7 linked regions of the Oryctolagus cuniculus genome follow. The protein of the gene in region 3 interacts with the protein of the main gene of each other region in a biochemical or structural test. Links are inferred from orthologs where the notes say so. Each region holds a gene or a part of one and is shown on either strand. Other genes may lie near its edges. The genes, in order: CLDN4, JAM3, TJP1, CLDN8, KIRREL1, CLDN7 and JAM2.

Evidence for each region.
Region 1: the proteins of TJP1 (region 3) and CLDN4 form a complex in vitro, tested with the Homo sapiens proteins (2 studies listed by BioGRID and IntAct, with this or other methods). The link is inferred for Oryctolagus cuniculus from reciprocal best matches to the Homo sapiens genes TJP1 and CLDN4.
Region 2: the proteins of TJP1 (region 3) and JAM3 form a complex in vitro, tested with the Homo sapiens proteins (2 studies listed by BioGRID and IntAct, with this or other methods). The link is inferred for Oryctolagus cuniculus from reciprocal best matches to the Homo sapiens genes TJP1 and JAM3.
Region 4: the proteins of TJP1 (region 3) and CLDN8 form a complex in vitro, tested with the Homo sapiens proteins (2 studies listed by BioGRID and IntAct, with this or other methods). The link is inferred for Oryctolagus cuniculus from reciprocal best matches to the Homo sapiens genes TJP1 and CLDN8.
Region 5: the proteins of TJP1 (region 3) and KIRREL1 form a complex in vitro, tested with the Homo sapiens proteins (3 studies listed by BioGRID and IntAct, with this or other methods). The link is inferred for Oryctolagus cuniculus from reciprocal best matches to the Homo sapiens genes TJP1 and KIRREL1.
Region 6: the proteins of TJP1 (region 3) and CLDN7 form a complex in vitro, tested with the Homo sapiens proteins (2 studies listed by BioGRID and IntAct, with this or other methods). The link is inferred for Oryctolagus cuniculus from reciprocal best matches to the Homo sapiens genes TJP1 and CLDN7.
Region 7: the proteins of TJP1 (region 3) and JAM2 form a complex in vitro, tested with the Homo sapiens proteins (2 studies listed by BioGRID and IntAct, with this or other methods). The link is inferred for Oryctolagus cuniculus from reciprocal best matches to the Homo sapiens genes TJP1 and JAM2.

The regions. Positions count from the first base shown.
Region 1 is NC_091450.1:50,315,514-50,319,147, reverse strand, and holds CLDN4 (claudin-4), read left to right. Parts: upstream 1-1,564; 5' UTR 1,565-1,735; coding exon 1,736-2,365; 3' UTR 2,366-3,051; downstream 3,052-3,634. UniProt on the Homo sapiens protein: Can associate with other claudins to regulate tight junction structural and functional strand dynamics.
Region 2 is NC_091432.1:128,325,464-128,329,167, forward strand, and holds part of JAM3 (junctional adhesion molecule C), read left to right. Parts: intron 1-1,121; coding exon 1,122-1,274; intron 1,275-1,614; coding exon 1,615-1,817; intron 1,818-2,726; coding exon 2,727-2,826; intron 2,827-3,704. UniProt on the Homo sapiens protein: Junctional adhesion protein that mediates heterotypic cell-cell interactions with its cognate receptor JAM2 to regulate different cellular processes. Plays a role in homing and mobilization of hematopoietic stem and progenitor cells within the bone marrow.
Region 3 is NC_091443.1:10,918,194-10,922,506, reverse strand, and holds the start of TJP1 (tight junction protein ZO-1), read right to left. Parts: upstream 2,971-4,313; 5' UTR 2,920-2,970; coding exon 2,741-2,919; intron 1-2,740. UniProt on the Homo sapiens protein: TJP1, TJP2, and TJP3 are closely related scaffolding proteins that link tight junction (TJ) transmembrane proteins such as claudins, junctional adhesion molecules, and occludin to the actin cytoskeleton.
Region 4 is NC_091435.1:15,228,450-15,232,605, forward strand, and holds CLDN8 (claudin-8), read left to right. Parts: upstream 1-1,412; 5' UTR 1,413-1,653; coding exon 1,654-2,331; 3' UTR 2,332-3,556; downstream 3,557-4,156.
Region 5 is NC_091438.1:41,056,752-41,061,066, forward strand, and holds the start of KIRREL1 (kin of IRRE-like protein 1), read right to left. Parts: upstream 2,859-4,315; 5' UTR 2,618-2,858; coding exon 2,566-2,617; intron 1-2,565. UniProt on the Homo sapiens protein: Required for proper function of the glomerular filtration barrier. It is involved in the maintenance of a stable podocyte architecture with interdigitating foot processes connected by specialized cell-cell junctions, known as the slit diaphragm.
Region 6 is NC_091448.1:51,865,549-51,870,048, forward strand, and holds CLDN7 (claudin-7), read right to left. Parts: upstream 2,889-4,500; 5' UTR 2,148-2,888; coding exon 1,925-2,147; intron 1,109-1,924; coding exon 944-1,108; intron 860-943; coding exon 775-859; intron 673-774; coding exon 510-672; 3' UTR 293-509; downstream 1-292. UniProt on the Homo sapiens protein: Plays a major role in tight junction-specific obliteration of the intercellular space.
Region 7 is NC_091435.1:20,255,819-20,260,215, forward strand, and holds the start of JAM2 (junctional adhesion molecule B), read right to left. Parts: upstream 2,830-4,397; 5' UTR 2,329-2,829; coding exon 2,262-2,328; intron 1-2,261. UniProt on the Homo sapiens protein: Junctional adhesion protein that mediates heterotypic cell-cell interactions with its cognate receptor JAM3 to regulate different cellular processes. Plays a role in homing and mobilization of hematopoietic stem and progenitor cells within the bone marrow.

The sequences.
Region 1 (3,634 bases), on a different chromosome or scaffold from region 3:
AGGGCCGCTCCCAGACAGCTTTGGGCCAGTGGGGGATGTGTTCCGGAAATGGAAGGTATTGGCTTCTCTGGGTCAGATGTGGACAGGCCGCTGTATCCAGGCCCCAGATGTGTGGCTGGGTAGTGGCGGGGACTTGGGCCTGCTCCCCCCAGCATGGCCCTCTCCTCTAGGTCCCCCCAGCCCCTACCCTGACTCAGGCCCTCCCTGAGTCCGGACCCCCCATCCCTTCCTGTTTCCAGCAGTGCCTCCGGAAGCTACGGGGACAGCTGCTCACCACCGGTGCCCCTGCCCACCTGCCCCTGAGTACCGCCTGGGGCTGGCTCTTGGCTCCGGCCCCTCCCTGCGGCCAGGCAGCCCAGTGTCCAGTCAAACTGCATTCCTTGCTGTTCCCTCCACCCCAATGCCCCCTTCACCTAGTCCCACTGCCTTGCACAACCCTCACAAGGACCCCGCTCCCAGAAAGAGCTGTGTCTCGAGGCCGGCGCTGTGGCATAGAGGGAAACGCCGCTGCCTGCAGTGCCGGCCTCCCATATGGGTGCCAGTTCGAGTTCCGGCTGCTCCACTTCCTGTCCAGCTCTCTGCTGTGGCCTAGGAAAGCAGTAGAAGATGGTCAAGTGCTTGGGCCCCTGCACCCACGTGGGAGACTTGGAAGAAGCTCCTGGCTGCTGGTTTCAGATCAGCACAGCTCTGGCCGTTGTGGCCAATTGGAGAGTGAACCAGCGGATGGAAGACCTCTCTCTCTCTGCCTCTGCCTCTCTGTAACTCTGTCTTTCAAGCAGATAAATAAATCTTAAAAAAAGAAAGAAAGAGCTACGTCTCCCCACCCCAGTGCCCGTTCCCGCCACCAAGTCTTGCTGCCTTGCCCACCCCCTCAACCTCCCCCCGCCCCCGCACAACCCTGGCAGCTGCTGTGTTATCTGCAGCCCCCACCCCCACCCCCCACGCCTGGCTTGGCTCTCCCTTGCCTTTGAAGCCTCCTGGGACTTTGAACCTCTCTCTGTGTCCACACAGAGTAAACAGCCACCGTGGGGCTGATGCCTCCCAGGTTGCTGCCCCCAGCCTGCGCTGCCCACGTAGGCTCAGCCCTGGCCCACGGGGGCCATGGTGGTGGCAGGGGGACCAGCTTGGGTCTCTCTTTGGCCAAAGGTGCATGGGGGTAGGGGTAGGGCCTCCCGTGTCCTCCGTCTCCCATACCTGACCTGCCTGGCAGTGCGGGGCTGATTGACAGTGGCGACAGTGCCCGGATGAGGAGCCTGGGGGATGCTGGGACCCCAGGCTCCAGGTCCACCACCTTGCTCGCCCCACCCCGTGGACACCAGATGGCCCTGGGCTGTGACTCAGTGTCTGTCTCTGGCCTGACTTCAGCATGGGCCGGGGTGGGGTGGAGGGAGTGTGGGGGGAGGGGCTGGGGGAGAGAGGGCAGTTTCCTCTGAGACTCAGGGGTGACTCAGGGGCCTTTCAGTGTCTTGGTTGGCCAGGGTTCAGGAATCCAGAGAAACTGGTCAGGGCCCGAAGCCCCTCCCTCTGCCCCCGCCTCTCTCCGCCAGAGCCATATAACTGCTCCACCTGTAGCCGGCGGGGCGGCTGTTGGCTGAAAGAACTGGTCTGCTCACCCTCCTTGCTGGCGCTGGCTTTGTCTCTTCCCTGCCCAGGGCCGGTGTGACCTCAGGCCTTGAGATCCCTCTCAAGCCGCCCCGATCGATCGCCAGAGCCCAGCGGAGACGCACGCGGAGCCATGGCTTCTATGGGACTGCAGGTGATGGGGATCGCCCTGGCCGTGCTGGGCTGGCTGGGCTCCATGCTGTGCTGCGCCATGCCCATGTGGCGGGTGACGGCCTTCATCGGCAGCAACATCGTCACCTCGCAGGTCATCTGGGAAGGGCTGTGGATGAACTGTGTGGTGCAGAGCACGGGGCAGATGCAGTGCAAGGTGTACGACTCGCTGCTGGCGCTGCCGCAGGACCTGCAGGCGGCCCGCGCGCTCACCATCATCTGCATTATCGTGGCCGCCCTGGGCGTGCTGCTGTCCGTGGTCGGGGGCAAGTGCACCAACTGCGTGGAGGATGAGACGGCCAAGGCCAAGACCATGATCGTGGCAGGCGTGGTGTTCCTGCTGGCCGGCCTGCTGGTGATGGTGCCCGTGTCGTGGACGGCCCACAACGTCATCCGGGACTTCTACAATCCGCTCGTGGCGAACGGGCAGAAGCGCGAGATGGGCGCCTCCCTCTACATCGGCTGGGCGGCCTCCGGCCTGCTGCTGCTCGGCGGGGCTCTGCTGTGCTGTAACTGCCCGCCGCGCAACGACAAACCCTACTCGGCCAAGTACTCGGCTGCCCGCTCCGCCCCGGCCAGCAACTACGTGTGAGGCGCCGGCGCTCGACTGTGTCCCTCCTGGCTGGGATTGTCCATCGGAGCTCGGCATGGTCTGGGACCCAGGAGGAGGCCCGTGGCCAGCAGCCCTCAACCCCGCCTCGCCCCACTTGGACAGCTTCCCAAGGACGGATGGCAGAGAGACACCGTGCCCCGCTCCTCTGAATGGCTCCCGGAGGCAGGCGACAGAGCAGGGAGCTGGTCCTGCTGGCCAGGCCAGCCCAGCCCTGACCTTGAACTGTGTTTCAGAGTGGGTGCCCACTCATGCCAGTGTAGCCGCTCTAGCCTTTGCCCAGCTCCGTCTGCCCACACCCTCTGCCTGCACGTTCCATGACTCCAGCGCCTGTCTTGCCACCGTCTCCCTGGCTCCTGGCCCCGCCAGCTGCATGAACTTGGGGGATCCACGCTTGAGCCATACCTGCCCTGCCCGAGAATGGCGCCGAGGAGCACAGAGTGGACAGACTGGTTTGGAGGGGAGGAGTGGAGGTGGGACAAACTGGTTTGGGCAGGAAGGCTGGAGAACCCCTCCACCCTCCCCAGTCAAGGACACTGGCCAGCCCGGCGGGTGTATGTTGGGGGCAGGGGCTCTCCCTCGATGTCTCTGTTTTGTAATTTAAGAAGTGCTATTCATCACTGTAATTATTATTATTTTCTACAATAAACGGGACCTGTGTACAGGAAGATCTGTATTTGTCTCTGATTGGGGCTTGCAGGGGTGGGAGCGGGAGGGGCGGGGCTGGAGGCCTGTGCAGGGGGTCAGCCGGGGCCAGGACCCCAGCGCTTAGGAAAACGGCTTCGGGGAATCGCGACAAGCAGACCTGGCCGTAATCTTGGGAGTCACCCTGGAGGCAGGAAATAGCGCATGCCAGGGACCCAGCGGGGACCCCGGGAGGGAGGGCGAACCCCGGGGCTTGGTCTCTGCCCTCCCCACCTTGCCGGATCCTGCTTGTCCTGCAGGGCCAGCTCTGAGCCTCCTCCCTCAGAAAGAGCATCATCACAGGCCAGCTCACACAGGTCACCAGGGTCTTTCCACCTGCTCCAGCCAGGGCACCCTCCTGGCCACGCCTGGGGCTCTGGGGCCCCTTCACGGGTGAGGAAGTGCAGCCCTGGGCTTGTGGGAGCATGTGGCCCGGCCCTGGACCCGCGGCGCGGAACCCCGGCTCTGACCCAACCCGCTCTGCTCTGCTGGGTGCTGTTAGCACTGAGTCGGGCCCTGGGTTCCTTGTGCATGGGTTACAGCTGCAAGGGCCCAGCCCCTGGGGAG
Region 2 (3,704 bases), on a different chromosome or scaffold from region 3:
ATACTGCATTGTAATTATACCAGTTGATGGGCATTTGGGTTGTTTCCATTTTTTGGCTATTACCAGTAATGCTGCTGTGCACATTCATGTACAAGTTTTTGTGTGAATGTAAGTTCTCAGTTCTCTGGGAGAAGTGACCAGAAGTTTCTAGGTCATGTGATAGTTGTATGTTTCATTTTTTTTTAAGAAGCTGACAAACTTTTCCAAAGGCAGCTTTACCATTTCATGTCCCTACCAGCAGTGTACTTCCTGACATCCTTAGCAATACTTGCTATTGTCTGACTTTTTCTGGCAGTCCTAGTTGATATGAAGAGGTGCTCCCCGTGGTTTGATGTGCATTTCCTGTTGACTGACCTGTTGAGCATCTTCTCATGTATAGATTGGCCATTTGTGTGTTTCTATGGAGAAATGCCTTTTTGGATCTTCTGCCCAGTTTTAAACTCACTTGTCCATTGTTGAATTGTAAATTCTTAATACTGCTACATTGTAGATACTAGTCCTTTGTCAAATAGACTTGGAAACACTTCTGCGGTCCTGTACATTGCCTTTTCTCCTGCTGGCGTCCTTTGAAACACAACCTTTTAGTTTTGATGAAGTCTATTTTAACTACTTTTTTTGGGTGCTTGTGCTGTTGATGTCATATCTAAGAAACCATTGCTTAATCTAAGGTCATGAAGATTTATGCCTGCTTTTTACTAACAGTTCATAACTCTTAATTATACAGAAAATGAAGTAGAGATTCAACTACCTTGTTTTGCATGTGGAAAAGCATCATTTATGGAAAGCCAAGGGTTTTATTCCTTTTTCTTTTTTTATCTTGTTTATTTTATTGGAATGGGGAATCTCTCTTGAGAGTGATAGAAAAGAGATGAGGATCCTAGCTTTAGCAAGACACACTCATTGAGAGCTCCTCAAACACCTGGTACTATTTTTGGTGCCTGGGTTACAAATAGGAGAGTCATGATTGCAGTCCTCAGGGCACTCATTTCTGTTACATGGTATAAAGAAACAAACCAGTCTGCAGCCTCCTTACTCTGTATCAAATTCTGGCCCCAGAAACCACCCTCAAGTGGCAAAGAGAGCCTTAGAGTTTTTGGTGCCCTGTATCATCTTCTCTGTAGGAGACTTGGCAGGTCGTGCGGAAGTCCTGGGGCAGACTTCCCTGAAGATCTGGAATGTGACTCGGAAAGACTCAGCCCTTTACCGCTGTGAAGTTGTTGCTCGAAATGACCGCAAAGAAATTGATGAGATTACCATTGAGTTAATTGTGCAAGGTAGGAGCACGTGAAGGTAAACATTTCCACCTCTTTCAGGCTTCACGAGTCTCCATCTGTGGAATCAAAGAGAAGGATTTTGATTTCTTTCCTTCCAGAGCTGTATCTCTGAGGGAAGCATGACTGGGAGGGGGGAAGTTTTGAGGCTTTGCCTAATTTGGGGTGGGAAGTGGTGCTCCTGCCACTTCCTCACCATCTCCAGGAGGCACCTGCCACATAACCGTGGTGCAAGGGCAGCTCAGCTGGCTTTCTTGTCTTTGGACCCAGCTCACTGTGGGTTTTGACAGGGGTAGAGCCATGTTGCTTCAATTTTAAACACCAATCCATGTATTTCCTACAGTGAAGCCAGTAACCCCTGTCTGCAGAGTACCCAAGGCGGTCCCCGTTGGCAAGACTGCGACACTGCACTGCCAGGAGAGTGAGGGCTTTCCCCGGCCCTACTACAGCTGGTACCGTAATGATATGCCACTGCCGACGGACTCCAGGGTCAATCCCAGATTTCGAAATTCCTCTTTTCTCTTAAACTCTGAAACCGGCACCCTGGTAAGATATCTTCTAAGAGGTGATGATGGAGATGTGTCTTGGGGCCAGGGATGGTTACTGCTGAAAGAGCAATTAGGAGAGACAATGGAACTACTTTGTAAGACAGGAACTGAAAATGTTGGAGATTCTACAGAAAAAAAAGCCCCTTTTTGCCCTTATAGGCAAGTAGGTTCTAAAGGGGGTGCAATAAAGCAAGGGAACCTGGAGGTGAGAAGAGACTGCGGAGGGACATTAAATGTTACCAACAGACGTTGCCAGCGTTGTGATTTGGATAATCAGCTGTAAAAGCAGTACGGGACAACTAGGGAAATTTTGTTGGCTGTTTCTTTGATCATATTAAGCAATTAATTGCTTGCAGCAGCATCATGGAATTGTGGTTATGGTTTTTAAAAGTTCTTAACTTTTAGAGACGTATATTGAAGTATTTATGGATGAAACCTGACATTTCTGTCAGAACCCTGAGGTGGTGAGGGTTTGGGTGATGGGACAGGATGGTCCTGTGCTAGCAGAGACAGGCTCACCACCAGACAGCTCCAGCAGTCTCGTTCTCCTTGGCAAGTGCCTTTGGTCTGTGGTCTGCATGGAGTCAAACATCAGGCAGATTGTAATAGGATCCTTGATACTTGTTTTGTCAAAATATTGCCTGATGAGCAGTCATGATCAGACCACTCTCTGGCCTGTTGTTCTGGATGTTGCCAGCTTTGTCTCTTCAGATACACAGGGGAGGTTATGGTTGGAAGCTCTTAGGGTGTCAGGGAAGAACTGCGACAGTGCCTGGGGAGCCACAGGCAGACCAGAACCAAACGAGCAGACTGGCTGCTTTCTGGACTCGGGCGCAGTGGGGACTCTGTTGTCCCCTTAGGTCTACCTTGTTGATTGGTCTGTTTATTTCCTTATTTCCTGGAACAGGTGTTCAGCGCTGTTCACAAGGAGGACTCCGGGCAGTATTTCTGTATTGCCTCCAATGATGCCGGCTCAGCCAGGTGTGAGGAGCAGGAGATGGAAGTCTGTGAGTCACTTTTTGAAAAGATTTCATCAAAGACTAGAGAGTGGATAAGACATTCAATATTGAGTATTAGACCATCAGGTTGGACAGCTGTCTCCCTTGGGTCAGCTTTCTCCTGGAGCTGGCTGGAACGCACTGGGGAAGACAGGATGAGTCTAGACAAGCAGGTTCCCAAGAAAGACTTCCCAGGTCTTCTGGTGTTGGAGACATGGCCAGTCACGTAGCATTCAGTGAGTTAATAAATTCCGGTTCCTTGGTAATCGATGGAATTATCAAACACGTGGTTGTGCAAGGCCTCCAGAAACCTGGCTCCAGAGTGGATGCTGAGGGGAGAGAACGTATAGGCGCACCTCCTCACTCCTGGTGCTTTCCGTTCTCTTTTTCCTTCCTATTTGTAACCACCCACAGCAGTGTTTCCTAGAGTTACCTGATGATAAAGTCTGGGCCCATCCCAGATGTCTCCTGGAAATGTCTCTGTAAAATAAGCATTCCTGGTAGGGAAACCCTACACTAGAGTCATTTTCTCCTGAAGGAAAATTCCTGAGTTTTCTCCAGACCTATTGTATCTTTAGAGATGGAACTGGAACTGACATTTTAAATACAAATTCCAAGTTGATTTTCAAGGACTCACTCACATTTGAGAACCAGCATACTAGAGTAATGGAGAATTTTGAGTTTTCAAATTAACTGACTTTTGTTGATAAATTCCCTGCATTCTTATGTGCATAAAGGAAACAGCCACCAGTGCTCTCACAGGGAAGTGCATCGCCCAGCATGTAGAAATGATAAAGGACTCCCAGGGACTTTCCTCTAAGAGGCCTGCAGGTGGGAGGCTAGGGGGCCAGTGCAGTAGAAGGGCAAGGTCTCTCCTAGTTTTTTTT
Region 3 (4,313 bases):
CCAGGAAGAAGCTCTTGGCTCCTGGCTTTGGATCGGTGCAGCTCCGGCCATTGAGGCCATCTGGGGAGTGAACCAGCGGATGGAAGACCTCTCTCTCTGTCTCGACCTCTCTCTGTAACTCTGTCTTTCAAATAAATAAAATAAATCTTAAAAAAAAAAAAAAAGAAATGAGAATAACACTGAGTGAAAATTCTGAAAAGCTCTGCTAACACTAAGGAAAAGGTCAACAAAATCTTGCCTGCCTTTTCCTGGTCATTGATTCGTAAGAGTTTTTCTCCCTGGCCCTAAAGCACTGAGTACACATTTTGCCTGGCTTTTATTTCCCTGTGTCCTCTCTTCACAAACCGTGTGTTTGGGAGATGTGCTTCAAGAAGTAGCACTCCAGGCCAGCGCTGTGGCATAGTGGGTAAAGCCACAGCCTTCACTGCTGGCATCCCATATGGGCGCCAGTTTGAGTCCCAGGTGTTCCACTTCCAATTCAGCTCTCTGCTACGGCCTGGGAAAGCAGTAGAAGATGGCCCAAGTTCTTGGGCCCCTGTACCCGCATGGGAAACCTGGAAGAAGCTCATGGTTCCTGGCTTCGGATCAGCACAGCTCTGGCTGTTGTGGTCAAATGGGGAGTGAACCAGTGGATGGAAAACCTCTCCCTCCTGGTCTCTCTCTCTCTGCCTCTCCTTCTCTCACTGTGTAACTCAGACTTTCAAATAAATAAATAAATCTTAAAAAAAAAAAAGGGGAAGTAGCACTCCAGTGTTGGAAGAGAACCAAGCTAACTCCTGAACTTTGTGATGCCTAGTAGCATTCAAATGTCACTCTAACATCTTAATTTTTAAAACCAAGCATCAAGAAAACAGATTACCTTAACATTTTCCCAGCTGGGCATTATGAGTAATTCATTTATCTAAAAACTGTTTATTGAGAAACTATTTTGTGCCAGAAACCAGTTGCAAGGGACCTAGTAATGAAATAAAGAGCCCCTCCCCCATTCTAGTGGGGACAGGGACAACGTGTAGGAACAGTAAGTAGAACATTTAAGTGCTGGTTATTTTATTTTATTTTATTTATTTGACAGGTAGAGTTATAGACAGTGAAAGGGAGAGACAAAGAGAAAGGTCTTCCTTCCGTCGATTCACCCCTCAAATGGCTGCTACGGCCGGCACGCTGCGCTGATCTGAAGCCAGGAGCCAGGTGCTTCTGGTCTCCCATGCAGGTGCAGGGCCCAGGGACTTGGGCCATCCTCCACTGCCTTCCCGGGCCACAGCAGAGAGCTGGACTGGAAGAGGAGCAGCCGGGACTAGAACCTGGTGCCCATATGGGATGCCAGCGCCGCAGTCGGAGGATTAACCAAGTGAGCCATGGCGCCAGCCCTAAGTGCTGGTTATTGACAGACACTCAGAGGGAAGCAGGGTGGGGCATCAGGCTGCAGACACCTGATCCGATCTGCCAATGCCCCTTCCCCCATCAAAGTCACCTTCCGCAGTCACATCCTCACGACTTACTCGCTGGTCTTCTTCCCAAGGCATTTAGTTCAGCTGCTACCTGCTCCCACCAGTCTTGTCTTGGGGGTGTCACCATTTGCTGCTCACCAAATTAAAAAACAAACAGGGTGCAGCAGGGAGAAAGGCAATAGCGCAGCTAAGCACCTGCTGTCCAGGCAGGCGCCTGCCTTCCCGGCACAGCCGACCTGCAAGAGAACCCCCGGGTGCGGACGGCTACCGGGAGAAACGGGCGCTCCAGGAAGCTGCCTGGGTCACAGCTCAAGTCTGAGCACTGCCACCCATATTTATTGCTTTGCCTCCAAAACTCTTCCATTTTTTGACCCTCCATTTTTTGGGGCAGGTCAATTTATACACCTTGGGCAATTCTTTCACAGCAGGACTCACTTTCCTCGAATACCTAAGCCCGCCTGCCTGTCTGCATCCACAGCCCTATTATTAAATCAGACGACCAAGGAATGCCTTAAGGACCTACAACTGGCCACTCACGGTAACATTAACACGACCTGCGCCCACCACGATCCCTGGCACCTGCGCCCCACACTCGCCTTCCCTTTTTTGCCCTACAACGGCTTTTGCGGTAGAACCTCCCAGCCTGAACCCCAGATCCAAAGGACGCCTCGGCTGGGTGCAGGTACCCGAGAACGCCCCGCACGGTCGGGCGCCCGGCCGCGAACGACGGGACCCCGGGCGCGCAGAACTCCCAGCCCGGCTTCTTCCAGGAACGGGACCGCGTGCAAGCGACACATAGCACCGAACAAGGTGCCCACGGTCCCGCAAGCCAGAGCCCGCGCGGCGGCGGCGCGCCCTCCGCTGCGGACCCCGCACCGATGCGCTCGGAGCAGTCACGGGGACCGCGCACCGCGGCGAGCGATCGCGCGCTCGCGACCCGCAGGAAGCCTGCCCTGAAATCCCGAGCCTGCATTGGCTGGCTGGATGGATGCGGGTTCACAGAACGGAGGAGCCGGGTGCGGGAGCCGCTGCGGTGAGCCCGGCCGCCCCGCGCCGCCCTACGTGTGGCCCGGCACAGCCAGGGCCGCGCGGCAGCAGCCCGCAGGGCGCCGACATGGCTGCTGCGCCCCGCGCTCCGGCGGGCCGGGCCCCGCGGCCTGGCTGCCCGCCTGCCCGCCCGCCCCGGCCCCCGCCCGGGCGGCCCCGGCCGGCGCCCGGTGCGGGCTGGGGCTCGGCGCTCGCGCGCACCGCACCGCACCGCACCGCACCGCGCCGCGCCGCGCCGCGCTCACCACAGCTTCCTCTTGAGCGGCAGCAGGCTGCCGCGGTTGGAGGGGGTGACGCCGATGGCCATCTGCAGCACCGTCAGGTATTTCTGGTACTTCATCTTGTCCCCGCTCCGCTCGCGGGCAGGGCCCCGCCGCCGCCGCCGCCGCCGCCGCCGCAGGCACAGCCCCTCCAGGCGCCGCATAGATCAGCTCTGGGCCATCCGCCGCCGCCACAGCTCCCGCCGCTCCCGCCGCCGCCGCCGCGCGCGCCCCGCCGCCCCCGCCGCCCGCGCGAGCCGCGGTCCCCGCCGTGCGCACCGGGCGGGCGGGCGGGCGGGTGCGGGCCTGGCGCGCGGCGGGGCTGGCGTGGCCGCCGCGCCCGCAGCACCGCCCGCCGGCGCCACCGGGCCCTGCACCCCGCATGCCTCAGTTTCTTCATTGGTTGCCAGGAGCTCATTTTCAATCATTTATGCCCCGATGGACAAGCTCCCAGAGCGGAAAAAATACACTCTTTTGTCTGCGTTTGCCACTGGGTGGTTTATCAACATCATCTGTGTGCCGAAGATAACCTTTATCTAGCTGTTTCCCTAAAGTCTTTGACGATTTCAATTTTATATATATGCTGCACACACATATAGAATATATCACATACATGTTGTATACACACATATATCGCATACAAATTGTATGCACATGCAATATATATGTATATATTGCATACATGCATATTTAATATATATTGCAAAATATTGTATACACAAATAATATATTGCATACATATTGTGTACACACATATATAGTATATACACACATAGTATATATACACATGTAATATATTGCATACATGTGGCTATAAAATATATCACATATATGTTACACGCACATATATATAGCATACACAGTATGTATGTACATGTAATATATTGCGCACATATGGCACATATATTGCATGTATGTTGTACACATAATATATAGCATGCATAGTGTGTATACATATGTAATATATAGCATACACATCGCACACACATATATAGCGTCCATATTGCATACACATATGTAATATATATTGCATACATGTTGTACACACATGGGCAAACACATATAGAATATATGTATATTATATATAATACACTCAGACACAAACACATGCAGTCCTCGTTTGCCCTGGAGCTCTAGACAATGGAAGTGACCATGAACCAAGCAAAATTCTCTTAAGAATCAATGGGAAATGATTGTTCCATAGTCTTTAAAAACGTTGTCAAAACATTCAAAACTTGTTTAACTGATGGTTACAAATGTGTAGGTTAGGAGTCCTCGCTGTGGTGCAGTGGGATAAAGCCCCAACCTGCAGTGTCAGCATCCCATATGGGTGCTGGTTCAAGTCCTGGCTGCTCCTCTTCCAATCCAGCTCTTTGCTATGGCCTGGGAAAGCAGTAGAAGATGGCCCAAGTGCTTGGGCCCCTGGACCCAAAGAAGTAGGAGAACCGGAAGAAGCTCCTGGCTCCTGGCTTCAGATCAGCTCAGCTCTGGCCTTTGCAGCCTCCTGGGGAGTGAACCAGTGGATGGAAGACCTTTCTCTCTCTCTGACTCTACCTCT
Region 4 (4,156 bases), on a different chromosome or scaffold from region 3:
TACAAAGAAAATGTTATGCATTTTCTACAACAATATCAGAGACATATTGCAGTTTAGCCTTTTGAAGATCAACAAAGAAGAAATTACTGTAAATATAACTTTCGTTTTTTCTTACTTTCAAAATGTCGTGCGAATAAAATAATAACTTGGATGGTGGTACATTAATTATTTTTAGGCTATCATTTACTTTGGCACTTTCCTCTTCCCCACCCTTCTATGGAGAGTTTATGTTTCAATAATCTTTATTAACCACTCAGATTTTTTGAACCATTAAACTTTCACATTTAATAAGTGAGCCAAAGACATGCCCACATTTGAGTTTAAGTTACACAAGAAAGCATAGAGAAATTAAAGTTATCATTTCATGGGGTTAAGATGAAAAAAAAATTAAGCACAGACTGAAGATTTGGAAGATAGGACAGTGAGCTCACAGTGTTCTTCATAAGAACATTGCTAGGGGAGTATTCCTAAACCAGTTTCTGCTTATTTTAGAACCCATGTTACCACCATGGTTATTTTGAGAAGACATAGTTCAAATTGGCTCTTATGTAGGGGCTCCTATATCCTTTGAAGATGTGATATTAAAAAGTACAAAACACAAATTTGGTTAACACCTAATATTTTCAGTTCAATTAATGCAGCTGGTGTGTCCTGTAAACAGCTTATTTAAATCTATCAGACATTTGCCTAGACCCAAGACTTTTCTATCATCTGTAGAATTCTAGTTCCTTCAGCCGGGAAGATGGAGCAATAAAGATACAACCACAAAGTAAGCTAGCAAGCTGCATGTCACCCATAATTTAAATGTTATAATGTTTGCTACACTAAAAAAATCAACTAGCTTTTCTTTTATTACATTTTTTTTCTTTTAAATCAAGATTATCAGCAAAATACCAACAAGTAGTTTTTCTGGCTTTAATGAAAACAATGCATTTGGTGCCAAGGAGGAGGACTTTAGCTTTATTTTGTTTTTCAGCATGATATGTTCCCTGATTTTACCCTGCCAGGGCTTGCTTTGAAGTTGTAGGCAAATTAAAACTACTTGGATCACATGTATTCAAAGAATGTGGTTTTCCTAGGTATGAGCAGTCCATCAATGCCCTCCTCTCCTTTCACTTTGGCATTTTGACAGACCTTGAAGATTTCTTAGCAGGTATTTTATTTTATACCTTGCCCACAGCAGCTTTTACACAATTGCCTGTATAAAATGCACCTTTTACATTGCAAGAGATTGGCTCATTTCTTGATGATTGTGCAAACATTCATAATTATGCCTGCAGGTAAACATACTGCTGTCTTCTCGGAAAACAGAGAATTACAAAGAATGTTTATGTGCAGGTCCAGCCATTCCAAGTATCTCTGGTTGGTTTAGACACACCTGAGTTACCATCCCCCCGTCTTATTGGCTGAGAAAGTTGCCATACCTGATTTGTAAGTTTTCCTCTCTTAGTCAATAGAGGAGGCGGGGGACAACACAGCCAGCCAGCACTGGATTTAATCTACTAGAAATAGCAAAGCAGCTCTTATTTGAAAAGCTCCTGGGTTCTGAGTTAAGTATTATTGGAAACTCTTCTCTCCTGAGGCACAGAGAATCTTGCTTCGGAACAGCGTTACTAGTTCAGTTCAGGCAAATAAAATCTATTCCGGAGGATAATGGCGACCTATATTCTGCAAATTGCTGGACTGATGTTTGGCGGTGTTGGCATGGTGGGCACGTTGGCTGTCACCATCATGCCTCAGTGGAGAGTGTCTGCCTTCATCGAAAGCAACATCGTGATATTTGAAAACCTCTGGGAGGGCCTGTGGATGAATTGCATGAGGCACGCTAACATCAGGATGCAGTGCAAAGTCTATGATTCCCTGCTGGCTCTTTCTCCAGACCTGCAGGCATCCAGAGGACTCATGTGTGCTGCTTCTGTGCTGTCCTTCTTGGCTTTCATGACAGCCATCGTCGGCATGAAGTGCACTAGGTGCACTGGGGACGATGAAAAGGTGAAAGGTCACATCCTACTCACAGCTGGAATCATCTTCATCGTCACAGGCATCTTGGTGCTCATCCCTGTGAGCTGGGTTGCTAATTCCATCATTAGGGATTTCTACAACCCAATAGTGAATGTTGCCCAGAAACGCGAGCTTGGAGAAGCCCTCTACATAGGCTGGACCACCTCGCTGCTGTTGATTGCTGCAGGGACCCTGTTCTGCTGTGGTTTCTGCTGTACTGAGAAGAGCAGTAGCTACAGATACTCAATACCTTCCCATCGCACAACCCAAAAGAGTTATCACATGGAAAAGAAGTCACCGAGTGTGTACTCCAAAAGTCAGTATGTGTAGTTGCGTATGTTTTTTATCTTTACCTATAAAGCCATGCAAATGACTACAATACCCACTATTTTCTAATTATGGAGCCCAAAGGAACATTGATTTACTGTTGTTGACTGCTGAACATTAATTACAGGAACTACACATCAGCTGTTTATGATTCTATAAGCTATTTCAGCAGAATGAGATATTATACATTCTGCTTTGATTGTTTTAGGAAGTCTAGTAATTTGCCAAAATTGTTCATGCATCTATTCCTTTTATCAGTTACTTCAAAATGACATTGTTAAAGACTGTATTATTTTACAACTATAATTTCTGTGTGTCATAGAATTATGTACATGATTGAGCATGACATTTGTATCTCACATAAATAGAGACCAGCTTATATGGGTTTATTTAAAATGAAATACTGATCCATTGTACTGAATAAATAGGACTCAACTATTGCTTTTCAGGGTAATCAGAGATTTGAAGAAGTTAATATTAATTGTTTAACAATAACTTAGAGATTAAGTCTATAATGAAAACTAAAAATGAAGATTGTAATCAACAGTTTGAAGGAAATTAAATGGTTCTTCTGATATTCTGTTTTTCAGCCTAGAAGTTTAGAAATCCTCACTCCCTTATCTTTTCCCTAGAGGCCTTCATTTTCTTGTGTGTTAAATTAACATCGTTAAAACACAGATGGTCTGCAAGGAACTTTGTATTCAGCCTACTTTTTCAGGACTTACTAAGAAGAATGATTAAAATGTGATGAAAAAATATTAACAATCCTAAGGAAGCAAATTATTTTCTTCTTAAGTCCTTGTAGTTGGATAAGGATGCTGGTTGACAAAAAAAATCATGTATGCATGAGAATATTTTAACAATCATTGAGTACAGACTTAAAGCTTTTAGCAATATAAATAACAGCATAGAAAAATAACATATTTTGGTTTTCATTTAATTCCACCCCAAAAATCCAAAAAAAAAATATACTTTGAGCATTCCATTGCTCCTAAGTGGACTTATCTCAAAATTGTCACCTCAGTTCTGCTGAAGATAAATTTCCTATTTGTTTCATTTTTGTTCAGGTTTACTAAACTGTGAAATACTATAGCTTTGTGTTTCCTCCAAATTTGATGAAACAGAAAATCCAATTTGAAAGTTTATATCTATTTTTGTCCAGCTTACATAATTATGCATATTATGTACTTTGTCTTTTGTGTTTATAAATTGTGCCTTTTTATAATCATTTGAAACCTTCTCATTTATTGTTTCTGTTATCAATTTATAAGAGTAAAATAATGTACATATATTATTGAATATACATGCGCATATGACTAGAATCGAAGATGCTACATAGAATTCAGTATACAACATATTAGTGTATGTGTACATGTATTATATTACCTCATAAAAAGCAATTGCCTTGCATTTAGAGAGGTGATAATTCCAGAGCTGTGCTATCCCTTCTACAATATTCTCCAAAGACATCGCTTCCACAGCTGACTCTGAACACCTTACACCTGGTTTACACTCTATCATCATTACAAACGGCCCCTGAGGGCTGTGCAACTACAGTCTTTTCTCCTGGGCTTTTCTGTGACTCTGTTCACAGCCATCTTTCTTCTAAAACCTAGGTGACCTCATGATTGGTCTTTCCTACGCTTTAACTCCCTTCTCCATTCTGTCCCACCTTCTTGATAATTAACTGCTTTATGTGCCAAATGACTATTAATTTTTTGCTTAGAATAATATATTTTTAAAATTTAATTTATTCATCTGAAAATCAGACCACAGAGAGGGAGAGGCAGAGGCAGAGAGAGAGAAAAGCCAGAGAGAGAGAGAGAAA
Region 5 (4,315 bases), on a different chromosome or scaffold from region 3:
AATCAGTCTGAGGAGCCGGCGCATGATGGAAACGGGGGGAAGGATAATGGTTTTCATTTAGATAAGATACAGAAAATTATTTAGTGAAAAATGAAGATTGATGAAGCCCATTGAAATTCTTTAAAACGCGATTTTTATTTCTCCGCCTGAGCTGCAATCTCCCCTCTCCCCTCTGCTCTCTGCTCCCCTCCATTCTCTGGCCTTCCTTCACCTTCCCCCTTCTGCACCACCAGCCCTCAATCCCCTGGCAACACCTTCCCGCTCTGTTTCCTCTCTCCCTGCCCCAGTTCCTGGCCCTGAGGGGGGAAGGCTAAGGAGAAGGGGTCCCGCCAGGCACCCCTAGTGCATGCCCCAGGCTCCCCGACCCCCACGCCCTCCCTCCCTTCTCCTCCCCAGCCCCTGGCCAGCTTCCCCTGAATACCCAGTAGTAATTTCCTTTCCCTCCTGACTTCCCTCCCTTTCTGCCCTTTAGTATCCTCTCCCCCACCACAAACACTTTTGCATAGCGTCCTCAGGTCTTGCTCTCAGCCCACTGGGGAGGACAGGGAGGGGGAGGTTCAGGATTCCCTGTCCTCTTCCTCCTTCCCAAGGGGTGAGAGAGACACACACAATATACACATTTCTTTCTGACCATTCCTGTCTCCGATTCAATGCACATGTCTCTCCTGTTTGCTAACTGCAGCTTTTGTTCCTTAAAGCTCCTTCCTATCCATGTTGCTGACATGCCAGGGCTCCAGGAAAGGGGCAGACAGGAGCTGCCCCCCCTCCACATACCAATATTGACCCAGGGTCCCTCCCCCTCCCACCCGCCCCTTCCCCCACCACAGCAGCCTGACTGAACAGAGTCAAAACTTAAGTCATCTTCCCAACTTTCTGCCAAGTGCCCGGCCTGGCCTGCCAACCCCAGGGCCAGGCCTCCTTCCCCAGCACCCCCTCCCACTCTCAGCTCACACCAGACATGTGTGCCCTTCCCGTGTGTTCAGCGTGTGCAGGAGGGAAAGGCGGAAGAAGACAGGGCCCCAACAACTCAGCCCCGGGGAGGGTTCTGGCTGGGAAACGGGGTGTCCGGCACAGCAGCCCACACCACACACACACACACACACCCACAAACCTAAGAAGGAAAGTGAGCATTGAGCCATGCCTGAGGCTGCCCTCCCCAAGCCCACTGCCCTCTTCCCAGATCCACACCCCCACTCCCCAAAAAGAGACCACCTCCTCCATTTTGTAGTCTATACAGCTCCATAGGTGTCTGGCTGTACCAATGTCTGTTCAAGTTTCTTTGTTTGCTCCAGGGCTGGTATCTGTAGAAGGGCTCCTGCACGCCTCTGTGTGTGTGTGTGTGTGTGTGTGTGTGTGTGTGTGCCTGCGCGCGTGTCCTTGTAAAGGCTGCCTGCACACATGTTCCCTGTCTGAGTTTTGGCGCTCTGGGGCAGGATGTGTGTGCCAATCTGGGGAGGAATCCGTGACCCTCGGAGATGTCAGCGCCTTTGTGTCCATGTGTCTGTCTCAGTGTGGGGGATGTCTGCTGGTATGTCTGCGTCTCAGTAGGTGAGCAGTCTGTCTCCCTGTCTGTGACTGTTTTATGGTGTTTCTGTGTCAATTTCTCTGTGTCAGCTTCATGGAGGGAGGGGGTTGAAGGGGGGGGGAGTGAACCCGACAGGATTAAATCTTGCTTAGAGGCAGACCCCAGAGGTAAGAACACACTCCCACAGACCCCATTCCTGCCTGGAGTCTAGACCCTCGGTTTCCTCCCCCTCTTCCCTCCCCCAGCTCAGCCCTGCCCGGGATCCACCAATATCCTCACCTCTCTTAACCATAGCCGTGGCCTCCCAGCCTCTCCCCTGCCACTTCCAAATAAGCCCCCAGACTTCGGCACTTCCCCGACCCCAAGCGGGGTGTCCCCCCCAGTAAGTGCCCCTAACACATCCACTGGGCCTGCCGCTGTATTGGGAACTCCACTCCCCGCCCACAGCCGGCGCGGCCCACGGCTCCCACTCCCCCTCGCCCCAGGCTCGGAGGCCCCCTCCGCTCCCTGCCACCGTAGCTTTCTCTAGAGGGGGCGGCCCCGGCAGCTTGGAGCCGCGGTTCAAAAGCAGGCACCCCGACAGGCTGAACGGGAGGGAGCTAGGGAGACCGATCCTCTGAGCAGCATCTCGGGGGTAGCCCGGGGCCCCGGCTGCCCGCGCACCCCACCCCAAAATCTGAAATCCCACCCTGGCCGGGCGAAACCCTGGCGTCCGGACCCCGGCCACAGGGACTGGGGCTAAGTCGGGCTGCCGGGGGGCTCCGGGAAAGACTTTTCCGTTTTTCGCTCGGACCCCCAGCCCCGGCGGCCCCCAATTCTCCGTTCTCCCGCTCAACCAGAGCAAACAACTTGGATGAATCAACGGAAAACTCCTCCTCGCCGGCCCCGGCGACTCCGCGCCCGGACCCCGTTCCCCCCGCCTCGTGGCGTCTGGAGCCCGGCGGCTGCCCGCGGGCCGCTCCCCGGGCGGCGCCGGGGCGTCCGGGCGCCGGGGGTCGCGGAGAGAGGGGGGCGAGGTGGTGGCGTCTGGGGGCCCTTACCTTGGGAGAAAGTATCGGAGAGAGTGAGGATCCAGACGAGGAGGCTCAGCATGCTGCCCGCCCGCCGCGCGCCCGCCAGCGGCTGGGGCCCGGAGTTGGCGAGCGAGAGAGGAGCGGGCTGGGGAGGAGGGGAGCCCGCGAGCCCGCCCCCCGCCGCCGCGCCCGCCCCTGCACACGCGCCGCGCGCACACGCACACTCCCGCTCGCACAAACTCACTTCCCTTCCCGCGGTTTCCCCCTGGCAGCCTCCTCCCCCCAGCCCCTCGGACGAGTCCTCCTCTCGATCGCGCCCGCTCCCCCGAGCTCCGGCCGCCCGCGCCGCGCGCCCGCCCTCCTCCTGACGTCTGCTCTCTCCCCCCCGACGGCGCCTCCCTCCGCCGCCTCCCCTGCCCCCCAGCGCGCGCGCACACTCGCACCCCTCGCTGGCACCGAGACGCAAGGGCGGCCGAGAGAACGGAATTGAGGGCAAGGCGACGCGGATCAGGAGCGTGACATCGCGGGCTCCGGCGCAGGGGCGGCTGGACCCCTGCCCGCCCGCGCTGCCGCCCGTTTACAGACGCGGTCTCGGTCCCGGGCTGTGGGTTTGTAGCGGAGGGTCGGGGTTGGGGGGACAGGGTCTGAGGATAAGCCTCGTACGCAGAGGATGGCTGTGATGAGGAAGAGTGTGTGTGTGTGTGTGTGTGTGTGTGTGTGTCTGGTAGGCTGCCAGGGAGTTAAAGAGCATACAGATCTCAAAAAAAGAAAAAAAGAAAGAAAGACCAGAAGCTAATTCCTAGATCCCCTCAATGAAGAATTCTCCACTGGCTAGTGAATGTTGGAGGGGGGAGGGGCAGACATTCCTCTCCCGGCCTAAAAACCCCAGAACTAGAGAATCTACTTGGCCTGCCTTGAGCCCCTGCCAGAGACCAGGCTAAATGTTGGAGCCCTCAGCAGCCTGGAGAGGCACAGCTGCCTCCTTCCTTTGTTCCCCCTGGGCCTCTACCCACCCAGAAGGAGAAGCTAGCCAGCACCACGGCCCAGCTTGGAAGGCCAAGGACTGGCACGGCCTCCCTTCCAAGCCCGTGGGAAGAGCTGGCTGCCCAAAGAAGGTCTCCAAGCAGGAGTCTGAGATACCTTGGGGTGGAGACGGAGGAGCGGCTGAGGGAGGGACTTCCTGGTGGGAGTGATGAGGGGCTGCAGGAAGGGTCCGCTTTCTCTAGGGCCCAGTCTAGCAACCAGCTCCTCTCCCAAGCCCTAAGCAGAAGCCTCTGGTCCCAGCGTTGCTGGCAGTGCTTGGAGGTCTGGACCCTAGGGGATGAACTGAGGGGAAACAACACAAGAGTCACAGCAGTTGCACAACTTTACCGTAATGCCTGCTGGTCTAGAGAGGTCTCCACCTCTTTTCTCCCACATTCTGCATCTCCTGGGTCCCTAACTGCTGCCAGCGAGCATTTCTTCTTCCTTTCAGGCCCTGAGCTCAAAGCGCACGGCTCTCTGGTGCCCTCTGCTGACGTCAGGCGGCCAGGACTCGCCTTTCCTCCCCCGGATCCTGAAACATCCGCGCCAAGTAGAGGGCACAGAAACACAGGCAGGAAAACGCACAAGCTCTTACTCTGAAAGCTGATGCTCACAGTCCGGAGAAGACTTACATAGTTCAAAGCCGCATGTGCACAGGCAAGCACAGTGTAGAAACAAAGAACCGTACTTAGGCCAGAGACCCAGGAATGTAACCAGCACACGCACACACTAGCGCAGAGACATGCAAGGGCTC
Region 6 (4,500 bases), on a different chromosome or scaffold from region 3:
GAAGAGTCTCTCTTTCTCTGGTGCTACCTCTCTGTTTAACTCAAATAAATAATAATAATAATAAACTAGTAGCTATTTAAACAAAGAGTGGGGACAGGAATGAATGAGAGAAGCAGAACACCTGACTGTTACAGGGGCCTGAGTAACAATGAAAATGAAACAGGGTAGACCAGCCTTGGGCACCGCTGGGGTTCTGTGAGTGTTTTAAAGAAGTAGGCGCACTTTAGCTTCCAAGCTCCCTGTAAGGAAAGGGTGGAAGAAAGCAGAGGCCCTCGAAGGAAAAAAAGCCGCCTTTCCAAAACCTATTTTTTATTACTGTACAAAAAGCACACCCTCCCCTCTGTTTGGCCCCCCCTTCCCCGCCCCGTAGAGAACTGTACATGGTGTGCAGGGATAGATTGAACAGGAGGCCTTGTCCTGTGCCTGCTCACAGGTTGAGCTCTGCCCATGGGCCTTGCAGGTATCTGGGCACACCCACAGCCAGTCAGGCTGGGGCATGGGGTCCCGGCTCACACGTACTCCTTGGCAGAGTTGGACTTGGGGTAGGAGCGAGGTGCACGGTACGCAGATTTGTTCTCACTGCCAGGGCAGGAGCAGGAGAGCAGAGCGCCTCCCAGGAGGACCAGAGCAGACCCTGCCCAGCCAATAAAAATGGCAGAACCAAACTCGTACCTGTGGAAGAGAAGGGACTGGGTCAGAACCCTGGCCTGCCTCTGCTCTCCCCCTACCCCAGGCCCCCAGGCCTGTCCCGATAGGCAGGGTTCCCAGACTTACTTAACATTCATGGGGGTCAGGGGGTTATAAAAGTCTGTGACAATCTGATGACCATACCAGGAACAAGCTATCAAGGCAGCAAGACCTGGAGAGAGAATGAGAGTTCAGACAGGGTGTGCTCTGCCCACGCCCACGACTTCGTGGTGGGAGAGGAGAGCCTGGGGCCCACCTGCCACGATGAAGACGATGCCTCCAGACATGGCAATGCGGGCCTTCTTCACTTTGTCATCTCCCCCGCAGCGCGTGCACTTCATGCCCATCGTGGCCACAAACATGGCCAGGAAGCCCAGCACCAGAGATACCACCATGAGGGCTCGAGTGGCCTGCAAGGCCCCTGCGAGGAAGGAGAAAGGTCGCTGTCATTGCTGCAAAGGCAGGCGGCCCTCCGTCGGCTCCAGCCTCGGCGGCCGGGCCGCGCCCAGTGACCCCTGGACCCTTGTCCTCCCGGCGCTGGGCGCCGCCGCCGGCCCGGGGCCGCCGCCGCATCTAACGGCCGGCTGGGAGCCCGCAGGTTCCCGCCCCCTCCCGGCACCGCGGCCTTCCTGCTCCGCCCTCTGCTCGGAACCCGCCCGGGGCGCCAGGGTTTCGATGAAACCGCCACGGAGAGGGGGAAGGGCGCAGAGGGGCAGCCGACGGGGCAGCCGGGGCTCCCGCGCTGGTCGCACGTCCCGGCCGGCGTCCCAGCTCCGGCCCTGCTATCGAGGCCGCGGGCGCGTGGCCTTGGCTAATCGGGCGATAAGATTAGAGGCCGCAAACCGCGGCCCACATCTGACAGAGCGCGCTCGCTCCGCGGCCCTCGCCCAGTGCCCCCTTTTGTCCGAGAGAAAGAGGCGGGAGATGGCGGAAGCCATTGTCTGCCGGTGGAGGGTACAGAAGGGGACGACCCCAGCCTCGGGCTCCGCTTCCCCCGGCGAGGTAGAAGGCCAAGCTCGGGATGGAAGAGGCGCGCAGGTGGCCGAGGCGCGAGCCCACGTGCAGCGGACGGAACCCTGGCCCGCGCCCGCCCAGCCCCACCGCCCCGGCCTGTACTCTTCCGCTTCCTCCTGCAACCCGAGGCGCCCGGCCGCGGGGCCTCGGCCCTGCCCGGGACACCACCCCGCCACCTCGGCCCGGGGCAAGTGCGCCCCGTCGGGCCCGCGCGCGGCCTTACCGGACAGGGCGAGCACAGAGTCGTACATTTTGCAGCTCATCATGCCGGTGCTCTGCGTGACGCACTCCATCCACAGCCCCTTGTACATGGCCTGGGCCGTGATAATGTTGTCGCCCGCGTACGAGCTCATCTGCCACTGCGGGATGGCGGTGCTCGCCACCAGGGCCACCCATCCCAGAAGAGCCATAGAAAAGCCGAGCAACTGCAGGCCCGAATTGGCCATTTCCGCCTTCGGAAAGAGACTGGGAGCCCCGGGCGGGGGACCCTACAGTGAAGCAAATAAAACTTGAGGGTGGGGGCAGCCCCACAAGAAACAAGCCAGGTGGAGTTTTCAGCCGCCCAAAGAGACAAAAGAGGCGTTTATCTTCTTGTCCTCGGAGTAAAGGCAAATCGACGCCTCCGGTAGAGCGCTGGTCTCTCCCGGAGCAGCGGCTCCGCACACGGCGATCCCCGAGGCCGGGCGGTCCCCCTCGGCGCTCCGGGCGACCCTGCGCAAACAAAAGGTGTAGGGGCCGTATGGGCGCGGCCCTGAGTGCGGGCAAGCCCAGGATAAGATCCCGGGCTATCGGCCTGAAGCTGCGGTGCACGGAAGAGGAGGCGAGCCGGCAGGTGCGGGCGGACAGGTGCGGCGCACCTGAGTATAAGTAGGGCGTCGGGGGCGCGCCCCCGCGGGCAACGGGAGCGCGGGAGGGGGGGCGGGACCGGAGGGGCGGCCGAGGGTGACCTGACGTCACCGAAGGGACACTCACCTGAACCGGAAGTCCTGGCCCCCACCCCTTCTTGCCCAGGTGAAAAGGAAGAAACCTGAGCACTAGGGTCACGCCCATTCACTTGCCGGGTTTTGGCCGCAGGTGAGGAGGAGGCGGAGGCTTCTCAGGAGTTTCCAGCTTCGAGTCAGCCCCCAGGACTGGATTTCCCCCGGACTCGGAGATGCCCCTTTCTCTCTCCCCAGCAGGTGCACCTGGGACACTGCAGAGGCAGGCGGCCAGGCTCGGCGCCGCCCTTTCGCCGCCGGTTTCTGCCTCCAATGCTCTTTGTCCGCTCGACTTTCGCCTCCACCCTCTGCTCTTCTTTTCCTTCTTTCTCCTGCTCTGACGGGTGGTCTTAGCCGGGTCCTTGAGGATCGCGCCTTGTTGGAATTGCCACTCCTGGAGGCCCCTGGACGAGCGCTCCACCTCCCCGGCCTTGGCCCTCCCACCTGGGCTGACCCTGCAACAGCCCGCAGGCCTCTGAGCCCCTGCTCCTCAAGAAGCCCCCCTTCCCGGCCCCCAGTGCATCCCTGGGCCCTTCTCACTCCTCCCCCAGGCTGCTACCCGCTCCAGCATCTAGGCTCCTAGCAGAGCACAGAAACCACCAGGGCCAGGAGCTGGCGGAGGGTGGGAAGCCGGGGTAGGCCTGGGTCAGAGCCTTGGCCGCGCCCATCACTCCCTTCCCTTGGCGTCTTTTCAGACCCGTTCTCCACCTTCCCCGCCCCGCCACTCACACTGAGCACTGCCTCTCTCCCAGCCAAGCCGCCTTGTGCGCACTCTCCCATCCCCTCGGTGTTCTGTGCACCCAAACATCTGGCTTTACAACGGGATCTTTGAGTCCACCCTCAGACTCGCAGCTCACACTCACCAGCCCCCCCCCCCCCCCCCCCGGTCTCTCAGTTCACCTTCGGGCGTAGCCCACCTCCAGCCCCGCCCCTGCATCCATCCTGCGGTCCGTCTCCAGGCAGGTGGCTGCCTCGCCCAGCTCTTCGTGCGGGTTGCCAGTCTGCCTCTCCTCCAGCCCAGACCCTCCACACCTCCCCTGCCCCATCTCTCCCTCACTCCATTGCCCTCTTTCTGCTTTTCACCCCGGTTCTCTGGTGTTTCCTCCCATGGTTCTTCTTCCTCAAACATCTCTCTGTAAATCTTCATTTATTCTGTACATTTATTAATGGGCTCTTTGTGCTCATCTAATTAACCTACTCTTGTATGAAAATGCGGACTCTTCAGAACTCTTTGTGATTCATTTTTATTGTACTTTTTGAAGCACAGTGAGGTGGTTTTTTTTTTTTTTTTTTTTTTTAAGGTGACTTCCAGCTCTTCCCTTGACTTATGTGTACCCAACTTTTCTCCAAGCTCTCTGCTACCTCCCCGGGCCACAGCACGGTCACCTCTTGCCAGGACATCCTGACTGCTCTAATCTCCCTGCCCCCACTCCTGTCTTGCTAAAATCTGTAGCCTAGCCGGCGCCGTGGCTCACTAGGCTAATCCTCTACCTTGCAGCGCCGGCACACTGGGTTCTAGTCCCGGTCAGGGTGCCGGATTCTGTCCTGGTTGCCCCTCTTCCAGGCCAGCTTTCTGCTGTGGCCAGGGAGTGCAGTGGAGGATGGCCCAAGTGCTTGGGCCCTGCACCCCATGGGAGACCAGGAGAAGCACCTGGCTCCTGCCTTCGGATCAGCGCGGTGCGCCGGCTGCAGCGCGCTAGCCGCGGTGGCCATTGGAGGGTGAACCAATGGCAAAGGAAGACCTTTCTCTCTGTCCCTCTCTCTCACTGTCCACTCTGCCTGTCAAAAAATTTAAAAAAAAATCTGTAGCCTAAAGTGACCT
Region 7 (4,397 bases), on a different chromosome or scaffold from region 3:
TGGCCCAGCCCGGGTCGCTGTGGCCATCTGGGGAGTGAATCAGCAGATGGAAGACCTCTCTTTCTTTCTCTCTCTTGTCTCTCTCTCCTCGGTAACTCTGCTTTTCAAATAGAATAAATAAATCTTAAAAAAATAAATAAAATGCAATGTCCTGTCCTGGATAGAATCGTGCAACACTGAAGGACAAACGGTAAGAATGAATAAAGGGGCCAGCACTGTAGCGTAGTGGGTAACATCGTCACTTGCAGTGCCAGCATCACATATGGGCACCTATTTGAGGCCCGGATGCTCCACTTCCGATCCAGCTCTCTGCTATGGCCTGGGAAAGCAGTAGAAAATGGCCAAAGTCCTTGGTACCCTACACCCTCGTGGGAGACCCGGAAGAAACTCCTGGCTTCTGGCTTTGGATCGGCACAGCTCCAGCCATTACAGCCATTTGGGCAGTGAACCAGAGCATGGAAGACCTCTCTCTGCCTCTGCCTCTGCCTGTCTGTAACTCTGCCTTTCAAATAAATAAATAAATCTTTCAAAAAAAAAAAAAAAAAAAGAATGAAGAGAATATGAACACAGTGCACTCTGCTCACCTAAGTCAGCAACAGGGAAAACTGACGGTGGGTTACACAGCAACTCTCTATCCTAACTTGGAAAATTCTCTTCAAATCTATCTGTTCTAAAATTTCATTAAAAAACTTTCATAAAAAAAAAAAAAAAAAAAAAAAAGACTTTAGCAATGCCAGACCTTGGCCATCCCAGCAACAAGACAGAAAAGATCTCGGCAACATTTCCCAAGTTAATCCCCGGCACCATGGTTAGCAGGGTTATTCTACCCATTCATCCAAGCCTTTGTTTGCCTCTTAGTTGATTGTCAGCTACAATTTCAAACTTAGTGTACTGCTTCTATCTTAATGATGGGGCAGGGATCACAGGAAAATGCTTTGCTCCTTCCACAACTAAAGTCACAGGCTTTTCAGATCTGAAACGGAAGATTTTAGTGGCCACCGTAACTTCCCCAGCTTTGTTTCTATCCCTGCAGCCTGCCTCTTTGTTGCCTTTCTGCTGAGCACATCTCCCTGCGCGTTCAGCAGGACACCAATGGATGGTCAGAAACTGTTAAGGGTCTTACTGTGAAACTTGGCCTTCCCGGCCTGATTTTCTATAATATAGGTCAGCACATGGCCCTTCCCTTGGAGAACCGCGAGTCCACCCCCGCCGCAAGGGACACAGCTCACACACACGAGGACCTTGGGCTGAGCGAGATTCACTTGGGCAACCAGAGACTGAGGGGAAAAACTCAGTGTATCGTGGTATTACACACTCACCAGGAGGTCTATTTTAAGTACTGTAAGCATTACATTACCAGAATGAGCCAGGATAACTCATTTTACCAGGAAAGGCGAAAAACAAACAAACAAACAAACAGGTAAGGCAAGAAGAATGTAGGAAAAAACGAAAAAAGGAAGGGGTAGGGAGGGGACGAAAGAAAAAGGAAAATACTTCATGGCGCAAAATCTAGTAATTTCCTGCATTTTCCTAACAAGTCCACGCGAAGAAAACAAAAGGAAACGTTCCCAGGGTTTTCAATCTCGTGCGCCCAGAATCCGTGAAAATCCGGCTTATACGCGTCCCGCGGAGCGTCTGCATCTTCCTCCCAGTCGTCCCGTGGGACGTCCCTGAGGACCCCCGCCGCTGTCCGGGGTCGTGGGCCGGGACGGCGCCCCGCAGCAGCACAGGTGCAGGCGATCTAGGGAATTCCAGCTCCGCAGCCGCGCACGCCCCCGCCCCGCAGCACGAGCGCTCCGCCGACCCCGGGCACTGATGGGACCCTCACGGAGAAGCCAGGAGCACGGGGACTGCGGGAGTGGCCGGCGCCCGCCTCCCAGTGATGATGCCATGTTTCAGGGGGTTCTTAGCATCTCAGGAGTCGTTAGTGAGTTTTGCATTCGGATCACGTCCCTGTGCCTTTGAAAACTTAACCCAACTTTGCACCTGGTAGTGGGGGCCCTTAATTTTCTCAAACTAGCACTGACACAATCACACGCACTTACGAGAAGCCCAAGACCCGCCCCTCGCTTCCCACCGCCGCCGCCGCCACTACACTGCCCGCAGCCCCGGATCCCAGCCCGCGGGGTGCAAAGTCCGAGCCCCGCGTGGACCCGCAGCCCAGGGCCGCCCCGCTCCGTCCGCGCGCTCAGAGTCTGGGGTCCGGGGGGGTGGGTCAAAGCAGGACCGGGTGGGAGGATGGAGGCTCCCGAGCGACTTACAGCCCAGGACGACCACCAGGTACCGCAGCAGCAGTAGGAGAAGGCGGTGGCGGCTCCGCCTCGCCATCTTCGCGGGGCCGGAGTGGGCAGCTAGGGTCCGGCGTCTGGAGAGTGCGCGGCCAGGCGGGGGCGGGCGAGAGGGGCGGGTCTGGAGGAGACGTCAGTTTCCCCCTCCAGGGTGCCTTCTCGGCTGGCTGCCCAGAAGCTGGTCTTCCAGCCTTGGAATGGGGGGTCTGGGCCGTTCTTTTTTTGGGGGGGCGGGTGGGGTGCCAGGGGAGGGCGTGGACGCGGGACGAGGTGTCCGCGGGGTCCTAGTGAGGGGGCAGCAGGAGGCGAGCAGCGCAGGGAATGCCCTGGCCGGTCGCCCCCGCCCCGCGCCGCGCCGCCGGCATTGATCGGCTTTGTGTTGGGTCCGGCGCGGGCAGCCAGCTGTCCCCAGGGCCGGGAGCCCGGGGCGCTCGGGGAGGGGGCGGAGTGGGGAGGGGTTCCCGCCTGCCTCGCTCCAACTCCTGTCTTCCCCGCCTCTCCAGGAAACTTCTTTTGAGGTTTTTCAGCCCGGGGGTGGAGTCTTTGGAGAATTTCTGCCCAGAGCAGGAGGCGCGCGGAGGAGATGGGGTTCGTGGGCTCCGCCTTGGACTCAAGACTTAAAAAAAAAAAAAAGCTGCCTAGACTCGTGCGGGAAGTCAAGTCTCAGACTTTAGCAACAGCCTCAGCCCCTTCTCAGTGTGCGCTTTTCGGTCCTTGGAGAGCTTAGGGGTGTTTTGTGTTGCTTGCTTCTTCCTGTGCCGGAGTTGGAAGTTCCTCTATCGGTGTGAAATATTTATCATGTTGCTTTCCAGTTACATAACTGCCGCCTGTGGAGTTTTCCACATGTTAAAACTCTACAGCTGCCCTTTGTCAGGTTTATTTTTGGCCTACTGTGCTTTTAAAAGGGAAACCCATTATGAATGCGCTGTTGCGTGCTTTAAAATTGACCCACACTTAAGCTGCACTCACTGACGAAGGCTGAACTGGCAATGTGTGTGTTTGTTCCTAGGGACCGAAGCTGTCTGATGTGTTCAAAAGGATGGATAGGTCTGGGAAGAGCCATTCCCGGGAGAAGAAATTGTTGCACATCAGAGTTTTGTCTAAGGTAGAATAATGCATAAAGTTCTGTGTAGAGAGTTGATTTAGTGGCCTACACACAAAGAATTCAGCCAGCTCAGTGGACAAAGGCGAGCAGAGTTTAGATATGCAGAGCTGTGAGGAATGAGGCATCCCTGCCGTTGCCTTGGTGACAGGGACGAAAGCTTAGTACCCATGGGGAGGGCGGGGCGCGGAGGACCCAGGGGGCCCAGAAGGGAAAGTGGCAAATGGCTGAATGTTCCAGCTCCTGCCCCAGTCCAGCGGGAAGGGGTGCCGAGGTAAGGACAGCCGTCTGCCAGCTTTTCCAGGCAGTAACAAGATTCAATACTTGGAAAGAAAAGCTGTCCGTGACCTCTTTTTTTTTTTCTCATTCTTGCTCCAACTGTGCGTCTTTTACTCCTCTGTAAACAAAACACACACAAAGGCAGATTTTTTAAGGAGCAGGGATTCGACCTCATGTTAAAACTCACCCACCGGCCTTCATCAGGCTGTCTGGCTCCTGACTCCGGCTTCCTGGTAATTCAGACCCTGGGAGGCAGCCGTGGTGGCTCAAGTAGCTGGGTTCTTGCCATCCATGCCTGAGACTTGGTCTGAGCTCTTGGCTTCCGCCAAGCTTTTTCAGCCTACTCCCACCCATTGTGGGCATTTGGGGAGTGAACCAATGGATAGGAGCTCTCCCTAACTCCAAATGCCTCTCTGCCCTTGCAAATGCGTAATTTGTTTAAAGGATTATACCTTTTTTATAAAAATTGTATTTATTATTTATTTTAATGCAGAATTACAGAGCTAGAGAGGGAGAGACAGAGATCTTCCATCTGCTAATTCACTTTCCAAATGGCCGCAAAGACCAGGGCTGGACCAGGCTGAAGCCAAGAGGCTGGAGCTTCCTCCAGGTTTCCCACATGAGTGGCAGGGGCCCAAGCACTTGGGCCATCTTCTACTGCTTTCCCAGGCACATTAGCAGAGAGCTGGATAGGAAATGGAGCAGCCAGGACTCAAACCAGCACCCAC